Arabidopsis thaliana: one gene and its partners. The protein of the gene in region 1 interacts with the protein of each later gene in a pairwise test. Each region holds a gene or a part of one and is shown on either strand. Other genes may lie near its edges. The genes, in order: ckl8, AT2G27770 and AT4G18630.

Evidence for each region.
Region 2: the proteins of ckl8 (region 1) and AT2G27770 interact in a two-hybrid assay, tested with the Arabidopsis thaliana proteins (one large-scale study listed by BioGRID).
Region 3: the proteins of ckl8 (region 1) and AT4G18630 interact in a two-hybrid assay, tested with the Arabidopsis thaliana proteins (one large-scale study listed by BioGRID).

What each region holds. Positions count from the first base shown.
Region 1 is NC_003076.8:17,381,704-17,393,198, reverse strand, and holds ckl8 (casein kinase I-like 8), read left to right. Parts: upstream 1-3,598; 5' UTR 3,599-4,257; coding exon 4,258-4,333; intron 4,334-4,408; coding exon 4,409-4,449; intron 4,450-4,542; coding exon 4,543-4,612; intron 4,613-4,687; coding exon 4,688-4,836; intron 4,837-4,908; coding exon 4,909-5,004; intron 5,005-5,145; coding exon 5,146-5,216; intron 5,217-5,322; coding exon 5,323-5,384; intron 5,385-5,476; coding exon 5,477-5,540; intron 5,541-5,628; coding exon 5,629-5,713; intron 5,714-5,810; coding exon 5,811-5,937; intron 5,938-6,030; coding exon 6,031-6,116; intron 6,117-6,212; coding exon 6,213-6,276; coding exon of another isoform or gene 6,277-6,392; exon of another isoform or gene 6,393-6,619; intron 6,620-6,622; coding exon 6,623-6,774; intron 6,775-6,856; coding exon 6,857-7,156; 3' UTR 7,157-7,439; downstream 7,440-11,495. Other genes in the region: c-NAD-MDH2 (Lactate/malate dehydrogenase family protein), read right to left, coding at 750-844, 1,038-1,149, 1,238-1,373, 1,459-1,736, 1,848-2,023, 2,123-2,281, 2,605-2,647; AT5G43310 (COP1-interacting protein-like protein), read left to right, coding at 7,812-7,870, 8,617-8,796, 8,880-9,118, 9,305-9,357, 9,458-9,762, 9,896-10,068, 10,182-11,437.
Region 2 is NC_003071.7:11,829,496-11,838,992, reverse strand, and holds AT2G27770 (DUF868 family protein (DUF868)), read left to right. Parts: upstream 1-4,565; 5' UTR 4,566-4,941; coding exon 4,942-5,904; 3' UTR 5,905-6,450; downstream 6,451-9,497.
Region 3 is NC_003075.7:10,251,385-10,261,181, reverse strand, and holds AT4G18630 (hypothetical protein (DUF688)), read right to left. Parts: upstream 4,406-9,797; 5' UTR 4,005-4,405; coding exon 2,604-4,004; intron 2,487-2,603; coding exon 2,448-2,486; 3' UTR 2,225-2,447; downstream 1-2,224. Other genes in the region: MRH1 (Leucine-rich repeat protein kinase family protein), read right to left, coding at 1-138, 227-298, 388-523, 614-701; PYL13 (PYR1-like 13), read right to left, coding at 6,329-6,823.

The DNA of each region.
Region 1 (11,495 bases):
AAAGAGTTATCAACAATACCCAACAAATCATTATCTTCTGCAGCTATATTTGCTCTTTTATAGAAAAAAAATTATATTTAAAAATAAAATTACAAGATAAATCAAAGTGACTGCAAGTCTTGGAGAAAAAACTCATAGAATAGGGTTTTAGTTTTAGATAAAAACCTATGAAATAGGGTTTTACGTTTTCTTTTTTTGATAGGCTAATAAGGTTTTATATTTGGATGAACTGGTAAATAGTAAAAATAGCATAATTAAATAATAATAGTAAATTAAAAAATAAATGTTACGTAAAATTATTACGTAAAATTAATTCAAATTATTAATTTAGTATTATCCCATTGTTCTAAATCGCATAAAAACCATGGAGTATATTATTGCGAGATTTTATTCTATAATACTATTCTTAAGCTGTTTATTTCACAATTGCGAAATCTTTTGTATTTTTTTCATATGGGCCAAAAGAATACCCAACAAAGCTTTGGCCCATATCTGAAAAAGTCTACCAAAAAATTCGAGTTGTTGTTGTCTCTCCACTCTCCACTCTCCCGTTACGAAAGGAAACCAAAAGAGGTCAATTATCAAAATGATTGTTTATATCTGGTCAGCAAATCAGTACCGACACATCATGGGCACATTAGGAAAACTAAACCTCAAGCTCATGAGGTTATTAAAAGTTCATTTTATAACAAAACTTCTTTATTCGAAACAAAGCTTTCACTGATTAAACCAGCTGAGAAAAGACCGGTTTAAGAGAGGCATGAGTAAGCGAGGTCCTTCTCTTCCTTCAACTCCTCTGCTGTCAAATCCATCTTCTTCCTCGATGCGTCATCAATCGGTAAACCTGTGAATAACAACAACACATATTAGACCAATATCTAGTTCTATGAGCTAATCATCGCAGCGAGAACCAGCCTTGCACACTTAGGATTAGAAGTAGACAATCCAGTTTACGGTTCCGTTACACGGGTCAGCTTTAGGCTAGGATTCTCTTAAGAACATTGTGTATAACTTTTGGTTACGAGAAATATATTTACCTTGAACAATGGTCCACTCTCCATTACGGCAGGTTACGGGGAAGGAGTAGATAAGTCCAGCTGGAACATTGTAGGATCCATCTGAGTATACTCCCATTGAAACAAATGTGCCCTGAGAAATCAAGTCGAAGAACATATTAGTTTTACTTAGTACACAAAACAACCAATTGATTCGAGATAAAACAGTAGTAATGACGAACCTCAGGTGTTCCAACAACCCAATCACGGATATGGTCACAAGCTGAGCTAGCTGCAGAAAGTGCACTAGACAGCTTCCTGGCCTTGATAATGGCAGCACCACGTTGTTGAACGGTAGAGATGAACTCTCCATTCAACCTACAACATTAGTTGCTAACATACATGAGCATCACATTCACGAAACTAGATTGAGATATTAAAAGGGTGTTTTAGAGATTTTTACCACTCGTCATTCTTGACTAGCTCACGCACTGGCTTCTCTCCAACGGAAGTCTTAACGGTAGCGTGGTTGACATCTGGGTATTGGGTTGATGAGTGGTTTCCCCAGATAATCACGTTCTTCACATCAGACACTGGTACGCTTAACCTCTCAGACACTTGTCCCAATGCCCTGTTGTGGTCAAGCCTGGTCAAGCAAGTAATGTTCTTCTCTGGGATCGATGGTGCAAATTCCTTCAGGATCAATGCATTGGTGTTTGCAGGGTTTGCAACAACCAGAACCTACAAAACGAAGAGATAGCAAATATGAAATATCTCATACAACAAAATAAGAGATTAACTTGCTTAATTTCTGCATAATGATCATAAGAACGATTCGAAAAGACTTATCACCTTGCAGTTTGGTGCAGCATGCTTCTCCAAGGCAGAAGCTTGAGACTTGTAAATGGAAACGTTCTTGGACATAACATCCTTCCTCTCCATTCCTTCCTTCCTCGGGAAACCACCAACCATGACAGCAACATTAACACCGGTACACGCTTCAACAGCATCAGTTGTAGCCACCACACCTTCCACAGAAAAAACACCAACATCACATTTCAGCCTCAAGCAACATACCATATTCCAATACGAGCACAGTAAAAATATATACTAGAATAAAAACTTACCCTTTAGAAGAGGGAAAGCAGCATCGACCAATTCCATCTTCACACCGTTCAAAGCTTCTGCTGCAAAAGGGATGTCAAGCATGTGGAGGATCACAGGCTGATCAGCACCAAGCATTATCCCCCTTGCAATCATAGGAACAAGAGCATATCCGATTTGTCCTGCACAATAACAGAAACACACTTAAACATGATCTACACACAAAATTACAAATCAATCGCCAAATAAAGCTTACAAAATCAGAACAAATCATGATAAAATCAAATAACTGATCCAAAATGACAATTACATCTCAAAATGTAACAGGATTCACCAAATGATCCAATCAATTTCTCTCTTCAGATCTCACTATAGGAATCGAAAATATGATTCAATGATCGTTTACATTTTTGGATTATGAAAAATTGGTGTTACATAAAGATCTGACGATACGAATCAATAACGAGAGATGGAAGAAACAAGATCGGAGAAATAAGAATTTTACCTGCAGCTCCGGTAACAAGAACACGAACTGGTTCCTTCGCCATCTTATAATCGAGATCGGAAAATTATCGCCGGTGAAAAAAAGAGAGAGATTGTGAATGATCAGTGAGAGAGCGTGAAGGTATGAAAGCAGACCTGTGTGTTTATTTATTGGTGATGGTGAAAGCTGAGATGATCCATGGATTGATGCCCACGTTATCGAATCATCTCGAACCAATATCATTTTGGGAAGTTATAATGGGCCAATTTAGTGTTAAAATAAGCCCAACTAATTAAGCCCATTTAATGTTTAGACGAGTTTATCGTACCGACTAATTTGGTAAAGCCCTAATTAAATGGGGATGTTCAATGTTTACTTTTTTCATGTTTAATTAATATTTTCTTCTTTTGTAAGTGGTGTCTGAATATATAAAACTAAAGTTCTAGCTGTCTTTGTAGAAAATGCATGTCATTATATGTTTGACACTGTTATTGAAGAAATGGTCTAAACAAAAAAAGAAGATAATATAATATCAATCGAAATTCGATTCTATTATATTACTTTATTCTACATAATAAAATATTTTATATCAGGGTTTATCGAGTTAGTAATAATTTTTCTTATTACCAATAAAAATTAAAAAGCAAATTTAACAATCAAGTGATTATATAGTATTTTATAAATAGTACCAATTTTTTTTTTATGGTGTATCTGATAGTTTCGAGACAAATTTTGTTTTGTTTACTTTTAAAAATATATTATCAAATACTCATTTTTTGGTAGAATATTATGTTTTTTTATGATATTTTTTATGTAATAGTTTCAAATCAAATATCAATATTGCTTGAGGCCTACCAAAAAATAATCAATATTGCTTGAGCGGAAGAAAATAAAGATGCTAGAAAATATTAAAATCCAACTAATTTTATGTCATTAATTATCATCTTTTTCATATAGTGACGTTACTGTTTACAGTTAATGAAGAATAAATCAAATTTGGAGAAAAAGAAAACAAATTAGTTAAGCAAAAAAATAAAAAGTTGTAAAAAATTAGGGATAAGGAAAGAAAATCTCAAAATCTCTTCTTCAAGGCCGTCTCGTCAGATTTCTTTTTCATTTTTCTTTTAACGTTTGGTTTCGTCTCTAATCCATTATCTTCCTTAAGAAAAAAAAAATTCAGCAAAAAAAAAAGAGAAAAAAATAGTGAATCAAGCTGTCTCGTAGCAGTCTTTATAGATCAAACGATAATCGAATCCAACGACCCATTTTTTTTTTTTTTGGGTCTGATTTCGTCTCTCTTTGTTCTTTTCACCTTTTTTTTTTGTTTTGGTTTTGTCTCTTCCGTTTCATTTTGTGTTTCTTCAATCTGATCTAAAGCTTTTGTCTGAAAAAAAGTGTCAGACTTTCTATGAAGATGTTGTTGGTCAATGGGTGATTTTTAGTTTGTGTTAAAGCAGAAGCATAAGATTACTTGGTGAATCGATTACAATTTTGATTTGATTCAGATATTTGAAGGGTTCTTACTAGAATTTGAATTGGGGATCTTTGAATTTCGATCAGGCTTTTAGAGAGGTAGGGAACATTGAATTGAGATCTGGGTCAACTTTTGGTTTTGTTGGGGATTAGTTGTTTTAAGAGATCGAAGAAAGGAGGAAGCTTTTTGATTTGGTAACGATGGATCGTGTGGTTGGTGGTAAGTATAAGCTTGGACGTAAACTTGGAAGTGGATCATTTGGTGAACTTTTTCTAGGTAATGTGATTTGAAGTTTCTTCTGTCTTTTGGTAATTCCAAGTTTTGCTTTTGTAATAACTCTTTTGTTTTCAGGGGTTAATGTACAAACTGGAGAAGAAGTTGCTGTGAAGCTTGTAAGTCTCAACATTTGACTATTACCCTTTTCAATTCAGTAATGTGTAAAAACTCATTCTTGATTACTAAAACTTTGGTTTTTTTCTTTGTAGGAACCTGCGAGAGCTAGACATCCTCAACTTCATTATGAATCAAAGCTTTATATGCTTCTTCAAGGAGGAAGTAAGTTTTGCCTTTTGTCGGTTTAAACCTTCAGTTATCGTTCTTTTATTAACTTTTACATTTGTGTTCTTGAAGCTGGTATTCCACATCTAAAATGGTATGGGGTTGAGGGTGAATACAACTGTATGGTGATTGACCTTTTGGGTCCGAGTATGGAGGATTTATTTAATTATTGTAGTCGGAGGTTCAATCTAAAGACGGTTCTAATGCTCGCAGATCAAATGGTACGGATATATTATCTACCTTTTCTCTGATATGTTTGAGTTATTGTGTTGCTCATGATTTGATTTCTTCAGATCAATAGAGTTGAGTATATGCATGTCCGGGGATTTCTTCATCGTGACATAAAGCCTGATAACTTTTTGATGGGTCTTGGACGCAAAGCGAACCAGGTGAGTAGTTATGGTATGCAACTTTATTGTGTGGAATGATAATATACTTGTTTGGTTTTGGAATTTCTTTTGCTACTACCTTGTGAATCCTTCTATATGTTTGCATCTTTTCTCTGATATGTCATCTTTGTTCTTGTCTAGGTGTACATCATTGACTACGGACTTGCAAAAAAGTATAGAGATCTCCAAACTCATAGACACATTCCCTACAGGTACACATTTTTCTTTTTCTTGTTAAAAAGTTTTGCTCAATTTAAAATTTTCGAATTGTTAGTGAAATATTGGTAATATATTTACTAATCGAGAGTTACTTATTAGGGAAAACAAGAATCTTACTGGAACAGCTCGATATGCAAGTGTTAACACTCATCTTGGAATTGGTGAGTATTGTTTGCTTTTTCTTCTTTCATTTTCACATTAAAAACTTGACTATTTGTACGTTTATCAAACTAAATTGAGATCCTTTAAACAGAGCAAAGTAGGAGGGACGATCTGGAATCTCTTGGCTACGTGCTTATGTATTTTCTTCGAGGAAGGTATAGATACATCTTTACTTCACCCAGTATTTTAGAGTTTTCTTCAATTTGTTTCCATTTGTCCCTAAACCTCAGTCTCTCTTGCTAGTCTTCCTTGGCAAGGCCTTCGTGCGGGTACCAAAAAACAGAAGTATGACAAGATCAGCGAAAAGAAAAGGCTTACACCTGTAGAGGTACCAATTTGTAATCCATTTTTCAACTATATCCGGAACCCTGTGGTGAAACTGCCATGGATGCATTCATAGATTCAATTTAAATTTCCACTGGCAGGTTCTCTGTAAATCCTTTCCACCTGAGTTCACATCATACTTCCTCTATGTACGATCATTGCGGTTTGAAGACAAACCAGATTATCCATACCTAAAGAGGCTTTTCAGGGATCTCTTTATTCGAGAAGGTTGGGAAAAGTCTCGATTTTGTAGTAGCTTATGCTTGAATATTTTCACATAAGAAACTCAAAGAATTTGTTTTTAATGTTATATATTTGCAGGTTATCAGTTTGACTATGTATTTGATTGGACAATCTTGAAGTATCCACAGTTTAGTTCGGGCTCCAGCTCTAGCTCCAAGCCAAGAGTAAGTAACATCTATATTTTTGGAAATTTTCATCATCTTAGAAAATTCCTTAGAACGTATTATCAAATTCTCACGTTTGTCTCTGTTTTCCAACAGTCAAGCCTGAGACCAGCTATGAATCCTCCAGTACCAATTGCCGAAAGACCAGATAAACCTTCAGGTAAGCCCAACTCAATAACCTTCATCTTGCCTAAGTTTCCGTGTATCTTTTCGTGTGTGCTTCTGCTTCTTTGCTTCATCAAACAGTTTCCCTATACTTGCAAAGCTAGGCGCTAATCAAGTGCTTTATGGCCACCTAGGAGCCGATTAGTTTCTGTCTTTTCTTTTTCTTCATTTTGCTATAAGAAAGGTTCATCAATTTTATATGAATGTCTTAAGTGGATGTCAAGGCCTATTCGTCTGTTGATTTTCTGTTAATTGACTCGGTAAACCATCATGTTCCCTGCTCATAGTTTGGTGTTTGAACAAAACCGGGCATAGTAAACCAAATTTGTGTATGTATACAGCTGGAGCTGGGCAAGACAGTCGAGATAGATTCTCAGGTGCTTTAGAGGCATATGCTAGAAGAAATGGCTCAGGAAGCGGTGTGGTACAAGCTGATCGATCTAGACCAAGAACCTCAGAGAATGTATTAGCATCGTCAAAGGATACAACACCAGTGAGTCATTTCTAAAACCATGAAATCTTTTCTATATTGGCTATTCAAATCCTTTCTTAATCTCTTTCGTGATCAAAACCAGCAAAACTATGAGAGAGTCGAAAGACCAATCTCTTCAACAAGACACGCAAGTTCTTCAAGAAAAGCTGTTGTATCGAGCGTACGAGCCACTTCTTCAGCTGATTTCACAGAGAACCGCTCTAGCAGAGTTGTCCCAAGCAATGGCCGTTCCTCAACCGCTCAGAGGACTCAGCTCGTCCCTGACCCAACCACTAGACCGTCATCTTCTTCTTTTACCCGAGCTGCGCCGTCGAGGACTGCTCGTGACATCACGCTCCAGAGCTTTGAGCTACTCACCATAGGGAATGGAAAGAGGAAGTGAGAGGCTTGGCTTTATCGTGAGCGTGTTGGAGGACACTGCGACATTTTAATGGATGGAGACTTTGTTTTTATTTCACGAAATTATCGGTTTCCTAATTTAAGGAATAAATCGAACATCATTTGATTACAAATTATATGTGATAAAGTATATGGTTTTAACTTGTTAAGCTCATCACTAAATTCCATGTGTTTTATCAAGTACTAATGATTCAAATGATCCATATGGATCCAATGGAAGCATTAGACGGATGCTGGAAATACATACCATTGTTTACCGTTGAGAGATTAAGAAAAAGGTCACGAAAAAGAAGCCATGAATTTCGAGCCAATAACGACATAAATTATGTTCACTATCACTAGCTCACTCACACGGTCACACACTCACACTCACACCAGTGGCCACATGCGAAGTTCCGATTTTACCCCCAAATGTTTCGCGATATTACTATTTTAGTCCCCCACACTCACTTCCTCGGAAAATTCGCTCTCACTCTTCCAGCTGGAATCCAAAGCAGACAATGAAGACAAAAGCTTCTCTCTCTCTCTCTTATTTCTCCATCTCTCTATGATTAAACTTGGATTTTCTGCAATTTGTGTTTTTCTTCGGATGATTTCTTAATCTGAAAAAGTTTTGAAGATCTTTGGATAATTTAGCGATGAAATCTTCGACTCGGCTTGACTCAGTTGCTTTTCAGCTCACTCCCACTCGAACCCGGTAAGTTAAATTTCGTGTAAACTCTTGTTTTCGTCAGCTTTAGAGAAGCCTGATATGGTAATTGATCCTAAATGTTAAATCTTTCTGTGAAATTGTTCTATGGAAGTCGAAAGATTGCATTGTTATGTTCATTGATAAGACATAAAAATTGTTAGAAGTGTTAAACTTTGTGTGACTTGTTAGAGAAATTGGTTTTATGGAAGTCGAAAGATTGCATTTTTATGTTCATTTAAAAGATTAAATATTGTTAAAGTGATAAATTTTGTGTTAGTTTTGTGAGAAATTGGTTCTATGGAAGTTAAAAGATTGCATTTTTGGGTTTCCTAATAAGATCAAAAGTTGTTATAATGTTAATATTTGTGTTAGTTTTCTGAGAAATTGGTTCTATGGAAGTTGAAAGATTGCATTTTTTGGGTTCATTAATAAGATCAAAAGTCGTTGAAAATTGTAGGTTTCTTACCAAACTTGCAACGAAAAATTTAAGTGTTTTTCTTTGCATTGATTAATTAGGTAGGTAACAGCTAATGTAAAATAATTTCTCTCTTGTATTGTATAAACTCTTGTATTCGTGAGCTTTATTTACTTAAGCAGAAAATTGTTGTTAACTTTTGTGAAGAACTGTTCAATGCAAATAGAAAGACTGTATCTTTATGTTCATTGATAGGTTCAAAAGTCACTGAATTTTGTTGTTTGTGTACCATATTACTATGGAAAATTTAATGTCTTTTTCTTTGTGGTTCTTACAGGTGTGATTTGTTGGTAACAGCTAATGGAAAGACTGAGAAAATAGCTACAGGGTTACTTGATCCATTTCTTGCTCATTTAAAGACTGCAAAAGATCAATTGGAAAAAGGTGGCTATTCGATTATTCTCAAGCCTGAAGCTAGTGACAATGCGGCTTGGTTCACTAAAGGAACAATTGAAAGGTTTGTGTCATATACATTAGTTGTCTTTGTATGGAACTAGACACTTTGAGATAAGAGTTTTTTCTTCTTTTGTACTCGTTTAGGTTTGTTCGATTTGTGAGTACGCCGGAAGTCATAGAACGTGTTTATACTTTAGAAACTGAGATTATACAGATCAAGGAAGCCATTGGTATTCAGAACAACTCGGAAATGGCATTGACTGTTGTAAGTATATTGGGACTTTTGAATACTTTCTTTGTTGTATGGTCAGAAGTACTTAATGGTATATTGTATAAACAGGTGAAAGACGATCATCGAGCAAAAAAAGCAGATAGTGCAGAAGGTATGCCATAAGGATAAAATTATGTAATTTATGAGTCTCTATGCTAAAGCTACTGATTTGGAAAAACAATATTCCCGTCTCAGGATTTGACTGATACTAAGCAAATCTCAACTCATAAAATCGAAAATAGTGTGTCTCTTGGCTATTGATCTTTCTGTTTAACCAATATGTGAGAATGTGAATCAGGTAGCAGGCCTTTGCTACAGCTCAACGAGGAGAAAGCTATTGTCCTTTACGAGGTCAATTAGAACTGAAATGGTTTCTATAATTTAAAGGACCTTTTCTCTTATTTTTCTCTTTGGAACAAACAACTTATATCATCTTCTTGCATTTGAACAGCCTGATTCCCATCCAAAGCAAGCAAATCGGTCTACCTCATCAGATGAAAACTCTAAGTATACCCCTTTGCGTGAATTGTTTTTTGGTTTTCAATGTTTTTCAACAAAGAGAGTAGTTAAGTATCTAATTGGTAATATGTGGAATTGTATCAGAGCTCAAGTTATGAAAGTTCTGGAGACACGGAAGATAATGTTGCAGAAAGAACAAGGAATGGCCTTTGCACGTGCTGTGGCAGCTGGTTTTGAGGCTGATGATATGATTCCTCTTATATCTTTCGCCAAAACTTTTGGAGCCTCACGTTTGATGTGAGAAGATTGTAGTTTACACCAATTTCTTCTTTGTTTTGCAACCAATAATCTCATATCCATTAAAGTCTTTAAGTTTGAAAGAAACTTTTCATAGACTTACTTCTCATGTTTGGTTTCAACAATGTTATAGGGATGCATGTGTGAAATTCATGGACTTGTGGAAGAAAAAGCACGAAACTGGCCAGTGGGTTGAAATTGAAGCAACAGAAGTAATGGCAACACAGCCAAACATCTCTACAATGAACGACTCAGGGATTATGTTCGCAAATGCTGCTAATATGCCTGGGACACCTGAAAATAGTGGTAAGATGATTCTTATGAGTCATAGTAGCTGAGAGTTGAATATCTTTTCTTGCATTGTTTGGCATTGCTTTTGGCACAATTGATATTCATTTCGAGAAACTTATTGTATCCAGATGCGAAGTCTCCTACAGACAACAAACGAAATGGAAATCAAGAATATGTGCAAGGGCAGCATCGGCAGCCGATGTATGCACCCTGGCCAGTTCACTCCCCACCGGGCACCTTTCCAGTATTTCAAGGATATACGATGCAGGGCATGCCATACTACCCAGGCTATCCAGGAGCTAGTCCATATCCATCTCCCTATCCGTCTACCGATGATTCTAGACGTGGTTCTGGCCAAAGAAAGGCTCGGAAACATCATTCATCTTGTAGCGAGGACTCCGAATCAGAAGATCAGGAAAGAGATAATGAAAAATCAAGTAGAAGAAGGAAATCAGGGAAGGTGGTGATTCGGAATATAAATTACATTAATTCAAAGAAGCAAGATAATTCTGGAACAGAATCTGATGCTGATGACAATCATGAAGAAGTGGCAAGAGGAGAATGTTACAATGGTAAAGAGAGGGCAACAAAAGGAACAGAGGCTGACACTGGGGATTGGCAGGCCTTCCAGACTTTTTTATTGCAAGATGCTGACAGAGATGAACGTTCCATTGACCATATGATGGAAAAGGAGATTAGAGGGAAGAAGAGGCAAGGTACAGGAAAGTATGATCCTTTGGCACATGGTGAACGTGAATCAGGAAAATATCAAGAAAGGGATACAGCTGATATTCGGAATGGAAGTGTGACTCGTAGAATCAGGGGATCTAGTGACTCTCTTATGGTTCACCAGAGAGAAAATGGTTTTGAGAATTCTTCTGATCCTCTCAACATGAATGGATTTGATACTCCAAGGAATGGTCTGGATAAGAGAAACATGGATGATGATTCTTATATTGTTACTCGGGTATCTTCAGCCCGAGATGAAGCTGGAAGAAATAAGAGAAATGCTATAGACATTGGTTCAGAGATCTCTTCGTGCTATCAAACTGATGGAAATGAAAGAAAGCAGGTCAATTATGAGCCTCATGATCTGAGCCTGATACCCGAACGGGAAACAGAGAAGTTATCAGCTGGGTATGATCCTGCATTAGAGTTTGGATCCAAAGCTTTGAAGAAGAATAGCCAGGCAGCTGGAGGTGCTAAGAAGTTAGTAAAAGATCCAAAATCGAGACTTTCTAAAGATGCTGCAGATAAGAGGAAGGCTCCGGGGCCAATACGGAAAGGAAGACCGACAAAGATGAGTCCTTTAGATGAAGCAAGAGCACGTGCTGACAAACTTAGAAATTTCAAAGCTGACCTCCAGAAAATGAAAAAAGAGAAGGTAAAATCTCGGCTTAAACAATTTGATGATAGAATTGCTTTTTCTACTAATCATATAG
Region 2 (9,497 bases), on another chromosome or scaffold:
ATTAAAACTATACATAATAAACATTGAGCTTCTTTTGTGTCTAACAAAAACCCAGTTACAATGTTTCCCCATAACATGTGCTTACTTTTTCTAATATGAACGAATCTGTGACTACAACTAGATTCTGGTATTAATAACTTACTCAAGAGTTGCAATATGATAGAATGGGAATGCTTGTATATATTGTGGTTCTGAATTTAATGATGGTTCTTTTGTGGGACATTACCCAAAACCCTCACAAGTGGATAGGGGACCTTTTCAATAAAAATGTTTGTACATTGTAGGGTTTGCGGTCGATGTTCCCAATTCATTTCACAATTGTCTTTAATGTTCCTATCCATTTGAGTCTTGTTTTAGCAGCCTTAATGTCATATCCATTTTCCCAAGATATTAACTCTTTCATGTCGACTTTCTAAGAAATTCGAATCACCTTGGACTAAACCGAAAATCACAAACCGAAGACGATTGAGATCATTAACAAACCTTAGATACGTTTTCAGCCGGCTTAACCTACTTGAAATATCCATTTTCCTTCTCTTTTTTTGGTTAAATCAACAAATGTGAGCTTGAATATAAGTAGTAACAACGACACTAACACAAACCTAGTCATTGAACTTAATGTTTGTAGAAATTAACAGAGACTAGATGGAAATTAACCAAACATTATTATTCTGTCACTATTTTAAACATGTTTTCAACTTGTGAAAATATGCCCATCATAGACCCATTCATCTTACTGGATTTTGGTAATTGATGCTGACATTTGGTATTGTTAAAAGAAATCATATATAATGTTGTTGTTATCAGGCAAGCTTTGTTTCATCATCGTTTTACACCAAAGCTTCTTCCCCCTTTTTTAGTTCCCCTAATTATTAATTAGAATGTTATCTTCTACTTATTAAATTAAAATTGGGGCCATGTATGTATGTCTAAATTAATAATATTTAAGTTTGTAAAAAAGTCTTAAACCACTACAATACTACCCAAAATAAAAGGACAGTAGGAGAATAGACTCATGGAATGGAATTGATTTCGACGTACCTTCTAATCACATGCAGCCACATGACATTTCTATTTTGTTTCTCAAGTTTTATGAACCCAATAGCATTGACCTCTCAATTGAATGTAACTTCTCTACAATGCATCTATACCAATTAAATACATTATGTTATGTATATTCACTAAGTTCTTTATGAATTCATAATGTCAAATATATATATATATATACCAAATCATCCTTCTCTTAACTAGGTGTCTAGGTCAACGGCTTGACTTGCCCACATAATCACGTAATTAAAGAACTTTCCCAGCAACGAACTACTCCAAAAACACGACGACATTTGAACAATAGAAAACAATCAAAACATATTGATATAACTACAGTATGGGAAAACGTTTTTATTTTTATTTTATTTTTGATTAAAAGACCTACATGTATTTGTCAGAGACGTGTAGTATGAGTTTAGAAACTTAGAAACAGAAACATGTTGTGAATTGTATAGCACCAAAAAAATAGTGTAATTATAAGTTTTTGTTTTGTTTTTTTTTTGCTTTTTTTTGGGCAAAGTATAATAATAAGTGTAAAATCCTAGTTTCCTATGTTTGACTGAGATGTATAAGAAAATAAATACTGACACATTTTGTTAACAGTCTATTAAGTTATTTGCATAGATTTTCGAGGTCATATTGGCCTTGATTTGCTTTATATGTCACTAAATATGAATATGAATAGTTTGCGATCAGCAATATGATTACACTCAAGAACTTTTTTCCTATATGTGGCCTATTTCAAAAGAAAAAGAAATACCTTATTATTGCACAGATTAGAATCTTAATTATTATAAAATCCAGATCGAACATAAGTTGAAAACATTTTGATTAAATAATCAGAAAGCTCCAAAAGCAAGATACCTATTATTCGGATCTCCATATGTTAGGCTGTCTTTATAAACTTTTACTTTCTTATTTTATTATAACACCAAATAATTATTTTCGCCCAAAACCGATAACGAACGCATAGAAAAGGTTTTAATTGATTAAATTAGTAATTGATAGAAATGGTCATCATTCTTAATTATTAAAGAACCCTCATGTTTCCATCAAAATGTTTAGGATACAATAACTAAAACTCACAAAATGGTTGTCAGTGATTAGTTTCATCATCTCGTTTCGGGATCGAAAAAATGATTTCTACTGTTTAACAAAAATAAATGATTTCTACTGAATGCTTATAAGTTATAATCATTTTGCAAGTTGATACGGTAGTATTTCGATACCAGTGTAACAGTACGGTATTAAAAGAGAAAAAGAAAAAAGAATCTGCAAATATTTTGATTGAACGAATGAATGAAATGCAAAATGTTTCACTTTACATTTTCGCTGTTTCGAGTGGTTTTAACTCTTCTTTTTTATAGTGGATATAATAGAACATATTTTGCGATCTTGGCCATTCCAAAAATCAGGCTATACATGAACATTTATATAAACATATTAGACATCTTTTATGAGTTCTTATAATGGAATTTATGCTCGACAAGAGACATCTAGTGATAATATAATTTTTCTAGGTTGGCTGGATTTTAAATATGTCCAAAGTCCACACCCAAATGTCACGACAAACAAAGCAACCGTGTTCCTTTCTATGTTTATTGGCTTAGTTTGTTTCATTATAGCTATGATAGTATTTATTTATTTTTAAAATTCTGATTATAAAATAGTACTAACGTGTTAATACGAGTTGGATTTTGCTGAGTGTTCGCATAATAGGTTAAGATTAAGAATTTCATCAAAACCGGATCGGATGCAGAACCCCATATATCACTACCAAAAAAAGAATTTTATATCATTTATTTTGAATATTTGTATTACTTATGTCATATAATATATTATCGATGCAATATATAGTTGAATATCATTTCATGGCGGGCGTCAATAGAAGAGATGGAGCTCACTTCGATAAGATAATGTATCTCAAGAATTTAAGAAGGAAAATAGTTTGGTTTGCCTCAAGTTTATTTTCTTAAATTTGTTGTCTTTAAATAATCTCTCGTTCCTTCAATTTTTAAAGCAGACGGTCTCGTTCTTTTGAAATTTTGTTCCCTCTGGATTTGGTAACCCAACTAAAAAGTTTATTCTAAAATTTTATTATTAATGTATAGGTGATAAAAGAGAAGTAATAAATTGGGCTAATTGTTTTGGCTAAAACACTTCTATATCATTTCAAGAGTTTGAATAATCAAAATTTGGAGAAAATCTAGGCCAACACAGGCAAATAAACGAAGTTCCAACATTTGGCGGTTAAGAGAATTTGTACAACCGGCTCACAATTCCTCTCTTAGATCCGATCCGATTTGTTCCGAGACCATTATATCCGGGTTTACTTCTTTTGTTTGTTAACTTCTATGAAGCTTTATTGATTTGCTTTTTTAGTCTATATGGGCACAACATGTCAGTTTATTATCCCAATGAACTCTATCGTATGAGAAGGAGACTCAATCTCAGGTGAGGTGGTATCAATTTATGAACACCAGTAGATCACAATCACAGTCACTTCTCTAGTATCTTGCTTTTAAAATGCCATTTCTACTACCAAAAAAAAAAAAACATGAACCGTATATATATATATATATAATTTCACCTTGGATCCAACCAATTCAAACCTACTTCCAAATAGATTGGATATCTGTTTTATTGGAGTGAATTGGATTAGATTTAAGATATCCCAGTTAAGCAGGTTCATGAAATAATTTAAAAGACAAAAAAAAACATAAACTTGTTCTGTAAAATTTTCTAAGAGTGTAACTCTAATTTCTTGTTATATATTTTTATATTCTTGACATATTCATATATGTAATCCTTCTGATCCAAAATTTTATTAGTAGATTCTGTATACAAACTCCTAATATATCCGATTCTTCAAAACGGATTAAGGATATTTTTAAATAAATATAAGTAAAAACATTTTATTTTTATTTTTGCAACAAGTCTATTATTGGTAGTAGTTTTAGCTGCCTGAAACTTTTTTTTTTTTTTCGTCTATAAATTGTAACTCTCGACTTGACTCCGATGTATGGAACTACAAAAGAAAAAAGAAAAACGTATTCGTAATTACTACATTACGAACCTTCCTTTAATTATATGACGGTTTCTTAAAATATGGATGGTTCAAAACAAATTCTCACTAATTATAACGATTATATTATGTCTATATTAACTGAGAGTTGCTTTGACCATCATTATATTAGAAGAATTCCTCTATCTGTAAATTCAGACATTTTTTCAATCTATATATACACTAATATTTTTCCTAAATTAGTATATGTTTATCATTTTGATCTATATAAAAATCATAAACCTTAAATTCTCTTATAGAAACTTTACAAATGTATCATAAACAATTTTAAGTTAATCAAAAAGTCATATTTGAGTAACACCAAATTTCAATTCCCTTTAGAAATTTATTAATAAAAAATAAAATATTAAAGTACAAAAACTTTTAAAATTAGTTAGCATACAACTATACAATAAAAAAAAATAAAAAAAATATCAACATCAAATTTGTGTCCCCTAGACAATGAAAGCTCAAAACTACTTAAATTCGGCTCCTTTCACCTCCACTCTCTTCTTAGCACACACACAGAGACCTTAATCCATTTCTCTCTCTCCCTCTCTCTCATTAAGAAAAAAAAAGAGAATCAGAGAAGAAATAAAAAGAAAGCAACTCAAATCTTTAACCTACAAAAACCCAGATTTGTTAACTCTCTCATTCTTCTTCTTCTTCTCAACAACATTTGATCTTTTTGATTCTCAAAGTATTCTCAAAGTAAAAGAGAAACACACTTTGTTGTCTCAACAAGCAAGCAAACAAAACCCATCTTGGGAAAATCTCATTTCTTTCCCAAGAAAATCTCATTTTTTCTGTTACAATTTTTTCCTAAGAAAATGAGAGATTTGGTGTCATGTTTCAGTGAGAACTCAATAAACGTGACACATCCCTTATCAATATCATCTTCATCATCATCATGTTCAAAATACAGTACCAACAATGTTTGTATCTCACCATCTCTCATACCATCAATACAAACCTCCATTACAAGCATCTACAGAATCACTTTATCGAAACATCTCATCATCAAAGTCACATGGTGCAATCCACACAACAACAATGGCTTAAGCATCTCTGTTGCATCCGCAGATCAAAACCCTTCAACAACTCTCAAACTCAACACTTCTTCTCGTTTCTTCCGTAAGAAGAAAGGTAACAAATCGGTTGATTCCGATCTCGGTAAAATCGAGGTTTTTTGGGATCTTTCTTCAGCTAAATATGATTCTAACTTGTGTGGTCCTGAACCTATCAATGGCTTCTACGTTATCGTCCTCGTTGATGGTCAAATGGGTCTTCTTCTTGGAGATTCATCTGAAGAAACTCTCCGTAAAAAAGGTTTCTCCGGCGATATCGGTTTCGATTTCTCTCTTGTTTCTCGACAAGAACATTTCACAGGGAACAATACTTTTTACTCGACTAAAGTAAGATTCGTTGAGACAGGAGATTCACATGAAATCGTCATCAGATGTAATAAAGAAACAGAGGGTCTAAAACAGAGCAATCATTACCCTGTTCTCTCTGTTTGTATTGATAAGAAGACGGTGATAAAAGTGAAGAGGCTTCAATGGAATTTCAGAGGGAATCAAACGATTTTCTTGGATGGATTGCTTGTGGATCTGATGTGGGATGTTCATGATTGGTTCTTTAGTAATCAAGGAGCTTGTGGAAGAGCTGTGTTCATGTTTAGGACAAGGAATGGTTTAGACAGCAGCAGGCTTTGGTTAGAAGAGAAGATTGTTAAGAAAGATCAACAAGACAAGCTTGACTTCTCTCTCTTCATTTACGCCTGTAAGACTTGAAAAACATTATAAAAAAAAAACTCAATTTTTTTTTGAGATTTACAAGAAAAAGGTTATTGATTGATTGATTCTGTTTTTAATATTTGAGATATTTTTATGGGGTTTTTTTTTTTTTTGAACTTACAATTTCTTCTTGGGAGGAGTATAGATTTTATTTTCTTTCTTACATTCTTTTTTTTTTTTGGTTGGAGTTGTGATTTAATATTGAGAGATTCCAAAAGATGTGAATTTCTTCATAGGAGTTGTTGTTTTATTTTTATTTTAAATTTGGTTTTCTTACAAATTCAAGAACATTGCCATATCTTAAATTGAAGTCATTTGTTGGGAAAATATTTGTCTCAATGACTCTCTTTCTTGGCAACATTATGATGTTTATTACTATGTAGGCTCATCTACAGATATACGTTTTTTTCTTTCATAAATGTTGAAGTAATTGATGATTATGGTTAAGGAAGAAGAATTGAAGAGTGTGAAATAAGATGAGAATATATTGGGGCATATGTGCACGCCTATAAAGATATGCATGGAGCCTCTTTAAAGTACAAAAGTTAAAAGGTCTAGAATCTACTCATGCTAATTTGTTTTTCCTATTAATCTAACAAAATTTGTGAATGAAGTAAAAATGTAAAATGCTATTTTTTCTTTTGGTTTTAGAATATCAGTATGTGAAAATTTAAGGCATAGTTTATTATGTTTTCAAGTTCCAACTCTAGTTAGGTTATTTTGGTTAGGAATGTATTAGGTGATTAACATCTCGATCATTCAAGGAACAATTTCTTCATGGTTTAGGTGACTACATTGTAAAGTACAAAGTTTTTTCTTTACATTTTTTGTTAAAATTGTTGTAAGAAAATATGTCTAGTAATGGCTAATTTTTAGTTAAGTTGGTTCGGTTAGGCGAGGTTTAGGTGGTGACATCCCATTCAAGCAAATATTTTTTCTAGATTGGTTGATTTGGAGAGTTTTAGGTGATGTAAGTAGTTCAAGCTTTAGTTTTAGAATTTGATTATAGTCAGTCCGAATTTATGTTTTCATATAAGTTTGAGTTTTGATAAATTGGAGTTAACTATTTAATACTATAGAAATTTAGGAGTATTAAAATGATCATTGCATGTAAATATCATACGATTAAGATTAACCATGCCTCTGTATTTAAAGGATATAAGTATTACTATAATACAATAGGATACAAAATAAAGATTCGGTCAACATAACATTACAATATAATTAAAATACTGCTTCGAGTCATTTAAAACTAATCCAGAATTTGAAAGGCTGACAAATTTACCATTGTTTACACATAATAGAAATTTGACTGTTAAACCCATATATAATGAACAAAGCTTTAAGAGAGAGAGATATCGATAGCACGTTTTCACACAACACGATATATAAATTAAAAAACCATGTATGATACAAAATGTAATATGTGCACTATGGGGTGCCTGGACATTCATTACCATTTATTCATTTAAGTCACTAACAACATTTGCATTCCATGAATAATTCAGGTTGCATATTATAAACAAATATATATCTAAACCTTAGAAATATTTCAATTGGATGTTTCATCCATATAACATTAAAGAATGTTTCACATGGTATCACTAATTGCAATTTGATCATGAATTTATAATAATTTATAAAACAAATTTGGTTCATGTCATCCCTCTCCACTTCTATTATATTTTCTCTTAACAAATCTCAAACCAGTTATATTGATAAGCCATTCAGATTTACTTAATTTCGAGCATATACTAAAACAATCATAATGCCTGTTTTACTCTTTCGAGATTTTTATATCGGCAACTTAGTCAAAACAACATAAAGAATTAATAGTTCTACCAAAGAAAACATAAAGAATTTTATAGAATGAACATGATAGCTTGGTGAAGATGTAGTAGGTTTATGGTACCATTTTCGAACTATGCTACAAAAATATTACATTGAGGTAAGGTGATCCACTATAATCCTTATCATACATCCATAGAAACTTATACCAAGTTACCTACCGATGACACCCTCATGTATTTGACCCATTACTCTTTAACAGATTATATATATCTTTCAAGAGTGTATATCTTATTTTGCCAATTTTATTCTAGTAGCTTGTTATACTCTTTGTGATATTATGAAAAGGTTTTAACTCAAATATCATGAACTTCCAAAATCTCCACATATATTTGTGTTTTTTCCCTATATTAGAGCCATTCTTAACATTTGTGACAATAATTTTCAAATAGTGATGATTAGTGAACTTCACCTTACAAATGCATTTGATTGAAGAGGAAATGTCATTAGCCATCATCGCCTTTGCACCCTCGAATGATTCAAGCTTTATGAACCAGTCTTTTGTTAGAGTAATCTGATGTGTACATTGTGAATTTGTGATACATAGTTCTATATGGAAAATCTTGTGTTATACATATCAAATTATTATGTTCTCTTTCTTGAACCCTTTCCAATCCAACATGTTCTCATTTTTACTTGAACTTATATCATTTCTATATTTTGTTTGTTATGTGTACAATCTATCTTGAAATAATCAATGGATTGGCATATTCAACAACCTCGTTTTGATGTCTTTATCCTTGTTATTATTTTTACTTTGAGAACCATATGAGTTTTTTTTTTAAATACACTCTTCATTTCTTTTTTAACTAATGTAAAATTTCTTCCAAAAAAACTTTACAATAAATGGAGCATTTGTTTAAGCGCTTTTAACATATGATTATCGAATGAAAAAATTAGAAACTAGCTTCTTTCTTGTCTTGATACAAGCCAAACCGAAATACAACCTTCGTATCTTCTATCCCATTGCTTTCGTATAGAAGATATCATGTTCCAAACTTTTGAATCTAGTCTTCATACTGTCCTAAAAGCTTTTACGTTTGAAATTAAGTTAGAAAACACAATCAAGTATTACGAGTTTTCTAAACTCAACGCAATCTTAGGTCTTGAAAAATATACTTTTAGGAATTCACTATCAACGTAGTTCAGATAGTTACAAACTAAAGAGAATACGAATTCTCTAACTTAATATATCTTCCATTAATGAAACCAAAGCTTCCCTCTCACCTAAACGTCTCTCCTAAGAAACCCAAACCTCACACTTATTAATCTCCTTAAGAATATCCTCTAGTCAAACATTCTATTTTCTTTCTTATTTTAATTGAAATAAAAAGATAAGAAAAAACTTAAAAGGGAAGGGTGATACATGTGCCACACAGTGTCTGTATTGCTTTCACTCCCTTCATTAGTGGTCCCTTATTGTCTTACAATTTAATTTTCGAATCAAAATCTATCAGCCCTCTCCCCTACTAGTACTTGTATACTCATCCAACAAGTACTCTTTTGCTCTGCAAATATTTATTTCTCCATATACTCCAAACTTCACTGCCAAAGAATCATAACAACTGTCTTCAGTCAAATGATCTCTTACAATATCATAAACAAAGTAGTTGTTTTACAATTTAATCTCTTAGAGTAACAAATTCTAGTAGAATTAAATTGTTTATTAACAATTTTTAATTTTTAATATGGAAATTAAAAATATAGAAAATAGATTTTTTTAAAAAGATAAAGAAAGAATA
Region 3 (9,797 bases), on another chromosome or scaffold:
TTTAGCGATAAGCCATTGCTTAGCTCAGGTGGAATTTGTCCGCTCAAATCATTCTCTCTCAAATCCAGGACTTCCAAGTTTTCGAAACTCCCATACTCCTTTGGAATTCCACCGGAGAAATGGTTCCGAGAGAGTATTCTGTAACGACAAGAAAGTGGTTTACTCCAAGAAAAAACAACCAAACATGGAAAAACCGGAGTTGAGTCATCAAAGAAAAGATCCTTACAGAGATCTTAAGTCACTCAATTGGCTAAGCTCAGGAGCTAACGTTCCTTCCAAAGAATATCCGCTAAGATCCCTAAAAAAACACAACAAAACATTTATCAGAACATAGTTACACTAATGGTCTCATCTTCTCATAGTTTAGTCTAAAACAGAGGAACTTACAGAATCTGCACTTTACCGTCAACACAAGTAACCCCTGACCAATAGCAGAGATCATTAATACCAGAAACATTCCAATTCGCAAGAGTCCCATGAGGATCTGAGTTGACTCTTGCCCGGAACTTCAACAATGCGGATCCTGAATTCAACACAAATTAAAGCATGAACGAAAACCCTAAACAAATCATTTAAAACAAGAACAAGAAGATAATAATTATAAAGATCTAACCTTGGGAAGTGAGGGACAATGAGAGAGGAGCTTGAAGGCCAATGATCAAGAAGAAGAACCAAGGGAAGTGAAATCCACAACCCATCATTATAAGGTTTTTTACAACAAACACTATATACTAAAGATTTTTTTCCCTAATTACAAACCAAAATCCAAAAAACCCATTTCCCAGAAACAAACTTTCTCTTCTATATAACCAAACCAAATATCAAAAGAAAAAAAAGAAAGAAAGAGAAAAAATGTTAATTTTCTATATATTACAATGTACAGAAGAAAGAAGAAAATTGTCGGATATAAGGGTCCTTGATCATCATTTTCCAGGTTTGAAAATTGATTTTCACAAAACCCTTTTCATCACAGTGTTAATCTCTGGGATCTAACAGCTTCTTGTGGATCTCTTGATACCTGAAGAAAATGCAATAAAAATAACAATAATTACCAAAGGGGATACCGTTTCGAAGAAGCAACGTATATATACCTAAAAAAAACATTATGTTGTTCTCTTTAAAATGAGGAACATTGCAAATTACGTAAAGGAACCAAACAAATGATAGGTAATGATAAAACTTACTGTATAAAGGAATTCCTTATAATGCAAACAATGTATTATTATGTTTCTGGATGAAACCAGCAAGCGGGTAGGGCAAGCAAGAGAATGTTGGTGAGAGGATTTAGAAATCAAAATATCCCTAGAAATCGATCTTGATTATATTTTTGAAAATCGATTTCTCGTTAGTTTTTGCAGGATGATGATGATGATCTCAGAGTTGTCTCTCTTCGACCATCTTTGGTCTCTCCAGGGCCAAAGGGTGGTGCCTTCTCTCTCCTCCCTCTTCCCTTTGTCTTCCCTCTTCTCTCTCTTTGCACAATTTGTTTTCTTTTTTTAATTATTTCGAAAATTTTCCAATTTCACAACCCCTAATTTTCTTGTAGTTTACTTTTGGTTTCTATTTTTTTTTTTTAATAATTATACGTGCTTAACTATACTACACTAAGCCACGTCACCATAAGTATTTTAAAACACAAAATGAACGATTTATGTATTTTTAATTTTAGTATCCAAATCTATTCTCACTCTCTAATTTTGTTATTTTAAAATCGAATTCAACAACAAGACTCATGGGGCATGGGGGACGTGCCTGCCTCTTATACTTTACTAGTGCGTAATAAAATAGTGAATCTTTGTGACCGTTGGATATCGGTAATCCAACGGTTTTCATATCGTTTGTGTATAATGAGCACTACCACACATGACATGGGGTTTTGAATTAATGTGCATGAACATCATCAGTCATCACCCGTAATTTGACAAAAGCAAAAAAAAAAGAGCATCATCGCTAGTAACATGTCTCCCATTACTTTCTTAAAATATTTTATTCCGTCATGATCAAATGTCAATTGCAGCTGATATTATAAGAAAAAGAAGTCAATCAAAATCTTATATTATATGTGTGTCTTAGACAAAGATAGCTCTAATTTCAATTATGATGATATGATCATATATGATTATTTAAGAAACTTCATCGGTTTATCGAATCGACACTATGAATCAGCCTGGTTATGTTGTATAATTGTGCCGGTCTAAACCGGCTAAGTCAGAACTGGTTAGGCACGGAATCCATATTGTATCTAACATCAATAACATGAGGTCTTCCAATTACAAATAATGCGGTCGGAAAACAAACGCCACAATTATAACACACACAAAAATATTGAAACATAAAGAATCAATCTCGGGTACATTTGTGTTGCCTACAAGAAAAATAAGAGGCAAACCTTAAAACTATTTATTAACTTAATTGTAATGTAAAAACAAGAAGTAATTTGTCTGGTTTTATGTATTTTGCTGGCGAGATGGATAAACAATCAGCTCCTGCATAGAAGAATGTCACAAAGAGAAGATATATAAATTAAAATGTTCAATAATACAACGTATTTTTAAAAGAATTCGATTTGTTAGAACCAAAAATGTTCAAAGAGTAATTAATACCTGAGAATAACGAGCGTGATCGTTGTGAACATACGATGTTTTAACGATCGTTTCCCATTTCGTAGATTCAAGAACTTCTTGATTCAGTTTCTTGATACCAACTTGACCTAAAACGACGCCGTACGGTCTCGGGTTCACCGGCGGTAGGAGGGTTCGTCCGAGCCAGGAACGAGACGGAGTTTCCGGTAACGGAGGAGGAGAAAGCGCAGGTGTATATTCCGACGATGTTTGTTGAAGATTCCCTGACTTGTTGTTCCTTCTTCTGTTTACTTCCTCAACAAGAAACCTAGAATCGTGAATTGTGGTCCGTTGGATCCTCGAAGGAGTAGAGATCGAGTTTCTAAACATTTTGATCTCTCCAGAATTTGAGTAATTAGGAAGAACCTCTCTTCTTGTTCTTGTTGGATACAGTTCTTGAGACTTGCTTATTCCTCTGTTTAGCCTTTTGAAGCTCTCTGGTTTCTCGGGAGTTCCGAGAAAACCGGAATCCGAACAAGAGGTTCGGTACGGAGAGATAAAACCGGAAAGACGCCTAGTTGACCAGTTTGGTAAACTGGTTTGATCACCCGAATGTTTCATAGACCGGTTTGATACTGAATCCAAAGGAACCGGGTTTAGAAACTTGAATGAGTTCTTCGCACAAAGCCTTGGCAAGAATCCGCAAGCTTTCTTGGTAACTTCAGCTGGGTAGATCTTGTGATCAACATGACCATAATCATCACCATCATCATCATTCTCGTCGTCTTCAGTATCATCATCAATGTTTAAGTCATCGTAAAGACTCTGAACAATGGCGAAATGTTCATGTTCTGCAACCAGTTGACTTCTTTGACGAGCTACGAGAGCTTCTCTGTTCTGAGTGATTAGCTTCTGCTCTGAAGAGTTATAAGAAGATTGATGTTTCTGATGTGTCTGAAGAGCCATTGCTTTAGCAGCTGGTAAGAATCTTGACATCATTAGATCAAGACTTTCTCTAGACTTCTCATCACAATCAGATCTCTCACCGGTCTTCTCGATTTCGCTAACTCCACTTGTGCTGCAGTTAACAGAGAAGCTTACATTTGAAGAAACCGTATCCAAATCTTCATCTACTTCGTCTTCTTCTTCATCATCGGTTTCTAGTAGACCTGACTCTTGAATCAATGTAGCCATGTCATCTTTTGGTTTTCCAGGGATTTGTTCCCACATAAAAGGAATTGAAGCTGGTTCTGTGAGATGATCAAAGCTCTGGTCTGGTAATACAAAAACCGGCGTTTCTTGTTTTGTGCTCGGACATGATCGAAGCTCTGGTCTTGTAATCGTCGTCTTCTTATTCTCTAACTCACTTGAACGCTCTATCATAGACGGAATTCGCCTGATTGATGGTAATGGAGCATACAAATTCAATTTCTTTCCCTCCATTCTTGAAAACAAAAAGAAGGAAGAATAACAAACAGAGTCTTTGTTTTGTGTATCTCTTCTCTTGCTATGTGTTTGAGATTGTAGTTGTTCTTATTAAAGTAAGAAAATCGGAAAAATAAGAATAGAGTTAATGTATTAATATATGTGTGTAAATGATTGCCGAATGTCTAGGACCGAGATTGAAGGCTGGAGTTTAGGAAAATAGCAGATGAATCTATTATAAGTGTGCGACTAAAGAATTGTCAATAAAGAGACTTTCTCTTTAACCTTGTGTTTGGTTGTTTTCATTTCTTATATAAGTTATAATTGAGCTTAGAATAAATCCCATCCCCCACAAAGATTTGATTGAAAATTAATGATGAGATATTGAGATCAACTACTTTTCTTTTTGTTGGAAATTTTATGTATTGTGAATACATAACGATGTCGTTAGACATCGGAGTACAAGAAGATCAGAGACACAAATTTGGCCCTAATAAGGTGAAATATTCCTCAAGGCAAAACGTGAGGAGTAGTTGTGGTTCAAGTTTCAACTGTATTTTTTTTTTCTCTAAAAGTAATGAAACAAACAAAATAAAAGAAAAAGTGAGAAAAGACATTTATGTGAGCCAAATTACCGACTTTGGTAATGTAACACATGTTGTTGTGTCCTTTTCCGAGCCACGCAACGTCGTTTATAATGTAAGCACTAATTTTCTTTTCTCCGAATGCACCACTAATTGTTTACTTTGTTTAAAGTCTTTGAAAGAAAAGTCGCGGCATTCGCCTCGACGGATGATGGGGCTCGATTACGATATATAATTTAATTACTTTGAATTACTCATAACATTCCAAAAAATTGACTTATAATTTGCTAAAACAACCGGCCTTAGATATTGACTATAAATTAACATTTCACTTCTAGATTACATAGTGTATAGTATATTACTTTTAGATTATGTAATTGTTTTCTAGGTAGTATAGTAATCGTTTTAAGAGGAAAAAACATTACTCGGCCACCTCTTTCCGTCTCCAATATTCAAAACTTTGATTTTTAATTGCTAAACAAACAAAAAAAGAATGAAGAATAATAGTATGAAAAATGAGAGAAAAACTAATAGAAATGGTATTTGAAGAAATTTCTTTTAATCATAACTTAACTATCTGTTTGTCGTTACTTATGTTTTGGTAGGTACTACATTTATTAATAACCAATTCTTCAAAAGTGTCTATAAATAAATTAACGACTGGTCAAGCGAACATTTATTCTAATCTATCTAATACAAAAAGAGGAGGAGAAACCCATGAAAATTTGTAAAGTAGACAATAACTTGAGAAATATACACCTGAGAAAAAAATCGATTTACTGAAAGAAAGTGAAATAAGTTTCGTTGACCAAAATCCCTAAAATTGCGGGAATGAAAAGGACAAGGGAATAAGTATCCTTCACGTGGCAACCACTCACACTCCCCCACCAACACCCAAGCTTTGAAATAGCAAGCCCCACCAACACCCAAGCTTTGAAATAGCAAGGCCCAATAGTCCATTCATAAAGGCCCAATTCCCGAAAAAACATGAAAATTTCCAATCTTCACCGTTATATTTAGATCAATAGAACCTCTATTTTGTCTTTCACCAACTTGTTCAAAATAAATTATATCTGTTGATTCGGTCGGTTTTTGATAAAAACACACCAAAGTATTATAGAGTAAACCACTCCATTAGTTCAACAGCTCAATGATTCAACGGACATCATAAATTCATAACCTCCGAACAGATTTGAGTCAAACGGCCATGAAATTCACGAGATCTACAGTTTAGGTCATCATACTTTCTGTTCTGAGTGTAAAATACCTTCCAACCTAATAATATTATACTAAAGTATTGATATTAATTAGTTTAGAACTTCAAATTAAGAATCTTACATGATGCCCTTTTACTATGCATTATGCAAAATGGACAAAGAATTATCAAGAAAATTTTCAAACATGTATTTAGTCTAACTTTTGTTGTCAGCAATACAAATCAGTATATTTAGTAACTAAACCAACTGAGTCAACAATTTAAAACCATTATTTCAAAGATTCCTAATTGTAAAAATGTAGAAATAACCTTCATTTTATTTCTCTTCATAAAAGAGTAGGAGAAAAGAGACAATTACAATCACGGAAGAAAGAAACCACACGAGCATATTATTCCGATTCTTTATATTTTTATTATTATTATTGCAATGCTAAAAGCCTTAAAGATTAAAAACTAATCCATAACGATCCATTTTTTTCTTAATCCAATGATTCATAACTATAACTACGATTAGTTTATTGATTAGCTTAAACATATAGAGCTTACTTCATCATTTTCTTTGTGAGCTTAGCAAGTGAAGTAAGGTTATACCGAATAATGTTATCAACAAAAAATATTGTATCTTCCTCGCTAGTTCCTTCCGGCACATCCACCACGTAACTCTCCACCACCACCGTCTTCTTTGCCATATCCTCCGGCGACGCGACCACCTTCGTTTTCGATTTGTAATTAACAAGCCTATGGTTACCGCCAATAATACTTACCACCATCACGTGAGACTCATCATCTAGCTCTTCGAGCCTCTCCGTGCTGAAATCCGCCGGGAAGCCGGAGACTAACGTCACGTCCCGGACGGAGCCTTTTCCTTCTCCTCCTTTGCCGCCGCCGCCGCCAGAGCGCATGGTGCAACTTTTGACGAAACGTTGATAAGCTTGTGGTTTGTCGAAACTACGTAGGATGGACCACACTAGTGGTAATGGTGCTTCAATGGTCTCGACTACGCTAGAGCGACATCGTTTTTGCTTAGAACTTTCCATTTTCTGTTTTGTTTTTCTAATGGGTTTGTCTTTTATCGACGTGTATTTTCGTGTCTTACTTTAGAATTTTCGTATTCACTTGTTTTAAAGCATATCGAACGAATCTACGTACATATAAATGAAGGCAAGCCACCGACTAAAATATTTTTATAGTGTTTTATATTGTTTAATTTATTTACGAATTCTTCATGTAATATTAAACTTTAGAGTTCGATTCGAATTCTTCTTACTATATACTAACCAAAAAACATTTTACAATATAAACTTGTACACAAGTATTGACTGCCTTGTATAGTGAAAAATTACACAATCTTGTTGGCATATTTAGAAACTTTCTTTTGCTTTTTGATAAAAGGCTTGCATATTCTGGAACTTGGTTTTATCAAAAAGATTAACAAAACCATCTGTGAAGGGTATTCTGACAAGAGTGATAGGGAATATGGTTTTAACAAACCCTCTTTGAAGGTTTTTCTTTTGACTATATCAACCATTTAAACAGAAAGAGAGATATACGAGTATCTTTTCACGAAGAATTAAATATCTTACCAACTGATAAAAATTACCAATATTATATTAAAATCTAGTCGGTCTATTTTGGAAATTTGCTGCAGCAATGTTTTGGAGCTAAATATAGATAGATGTGTCATTGCCCACGAGGTAAATACAGATGTCATTTAAACCGGAAAAGCACACAATGGAATTTAGCGAAACACACACTTGTTTACAAACATAACAGTGTTTCTCTTAATTGGTTGCCGACCAGAAAAAAAAAGAATCCAATCTTTTTTCCTTCATAAGTGTAATGTTCTACGTATCCAATCCGAGAGCCATGCAAGTTCTACATATCCAGGGTAGGCATATTCAATGTTCCATCAGTCTATTGCCTATTAGAAATAAGGCCCGTATAAGCCCAAACTTTAATGATGATATTTTCCATTTATACATTTATGCTTCACCCCACACAGCACAAAATCCATTCTGTTTTGGTTTTGGGTTTCAAACTATCCAGTCCGTTTGTTAGTCCTTTTCTTGGCTTTGGTTTTATGTTTAGCCTTCCTAGACTAAGATCATGTTTAACGGCCGGCATTGTGTCACCTCCATGGTTATATAAATAACAAAAGTTTTAGATGAAAAAAAAAACTCAATTCCAATGTGTAATCTGTAAAGACATGAGATAAAATGTAATAGATTTTTTTATATATATTTATAAGTGGATTATAAAGGTAAATTGCAAATTAAAAATGGGTAAAGATATGAAGTAAAATAGAATAGATTTCCATAAGTGTATTATAAGAATAAAAATAAAATACATGGAACAAATTATATTTGGATTTAAGTATTAAAAATATGACTTAATAAACTTATAAAATTCAAATTATTCTTCTCTTAGATATCCATCTCGAGAAACATGGACATGATGACTATTTAAAATCCAAATTTTCATAAATTGCGTCTTAGAGTTGTAGCATATATGGGAATTGAGCTCAAGCTGAAATATATACATATATTGTTGGGGCTCACAAGTCACAATCAAAAACAGAATCGCAATTTTGGTATTTCTCAAACTTGCTTTCTTTATGGTAAGCAAGTGAAACCAATGCCCATTGCCACCCTCTGAACAATCTTATCGGCACCATTGATAAATTGTTTTGCAACCGTATCACAACTTTCTGTGTTATTAAGAATAAAAAAAGTTCGAAGGTAATGGAAGTTGTTCTAACAAATGGAGTTCACTACCTTGTAGGTTAATAAAAAAAAAACCTTTGATTGAATGTCTATTTATCCGGTCTAACAGAAAAGAATACGTCAAATTTTTTATTTTTTTTTATCTCTATCAGTAAAATTATTTATTGATGATCAACAAATTTTTACACTCAAAGAAAATGAGACGGGCGCAAGTAAGCCGAGTTAATTAGCAACTACAGTAGATATGATAGATCAAAACTTCCGATTTGTAACAAACCGATACTTCCAAACTCATGAATAACATATAGTATACTAGTATATAAAGAAACAGGGCAACATGGAATCATATTAAAACAAGCTTATGCTAAAACTCATGGCTCCAAGCCATCATTATTAAATACTATGGTCTATGGCTAATATATAGCTAGCTACAAAAGCTACAAACATATATTAATTGACATATATGTACATCACTATATATAGCCTCTCTCCGGATTCTAGGGTTTCGGAAAACTCTTTCTACCGACTCGATCGTTTTAACTTAATCAATTGCCGGTTCGAATCCTAAGTTCGTTTTATATAAATCCTAATTTGGTAATGCTAGCGCTTATTCAAAATGTTCGTTTTTTTTCCTAATTGCTTGAGTACTTATTTTAAACTCATGAGCTGTTTATTTACATTATTGGGCTACACTCGCTAGACCTTGTAATCTAGTTCCCCATATTATCATGCTTCCAATAGAAAATAATTATATAATAAAATACATATATACATGTACATATTTGTATAGGTGTGCATATATATAACTATATATACATAAAAGTAATGCTTAATTGTATATACATTTAGTGTAAGAAATATTATTTACTTACTTGTGCATTTCAACATGTATTCCAGTGTATGTTTATACATCATGATGCATGCAACGTACAGAAATGTTGTCATTTAAATACATTCACAGTTGGGACACACTCTAATTATTATAGCTAATTAATAACAAAAAAAGCTACATTTGAAAGATATATTATTCTCTCTTAATCATATCCAATTTTGAGTACAAAATTAGTTTAGAAATATATATACACACACGCATTAGGGTAAGTAAGTGACAATAGAAAATCGGGAAAATTTGATGGAATCAATCACTATTATTAATCCGATATTATAAGTTTTGTAGTCTAGATATCCAAAGAGAATAATTTCAATTTTTTTAAAAGATCATACGAAACTTTAAATTAGAGAGAAAAAAAAGAGAATTGAAAATTGATTACCTATATTGGAAATTTTT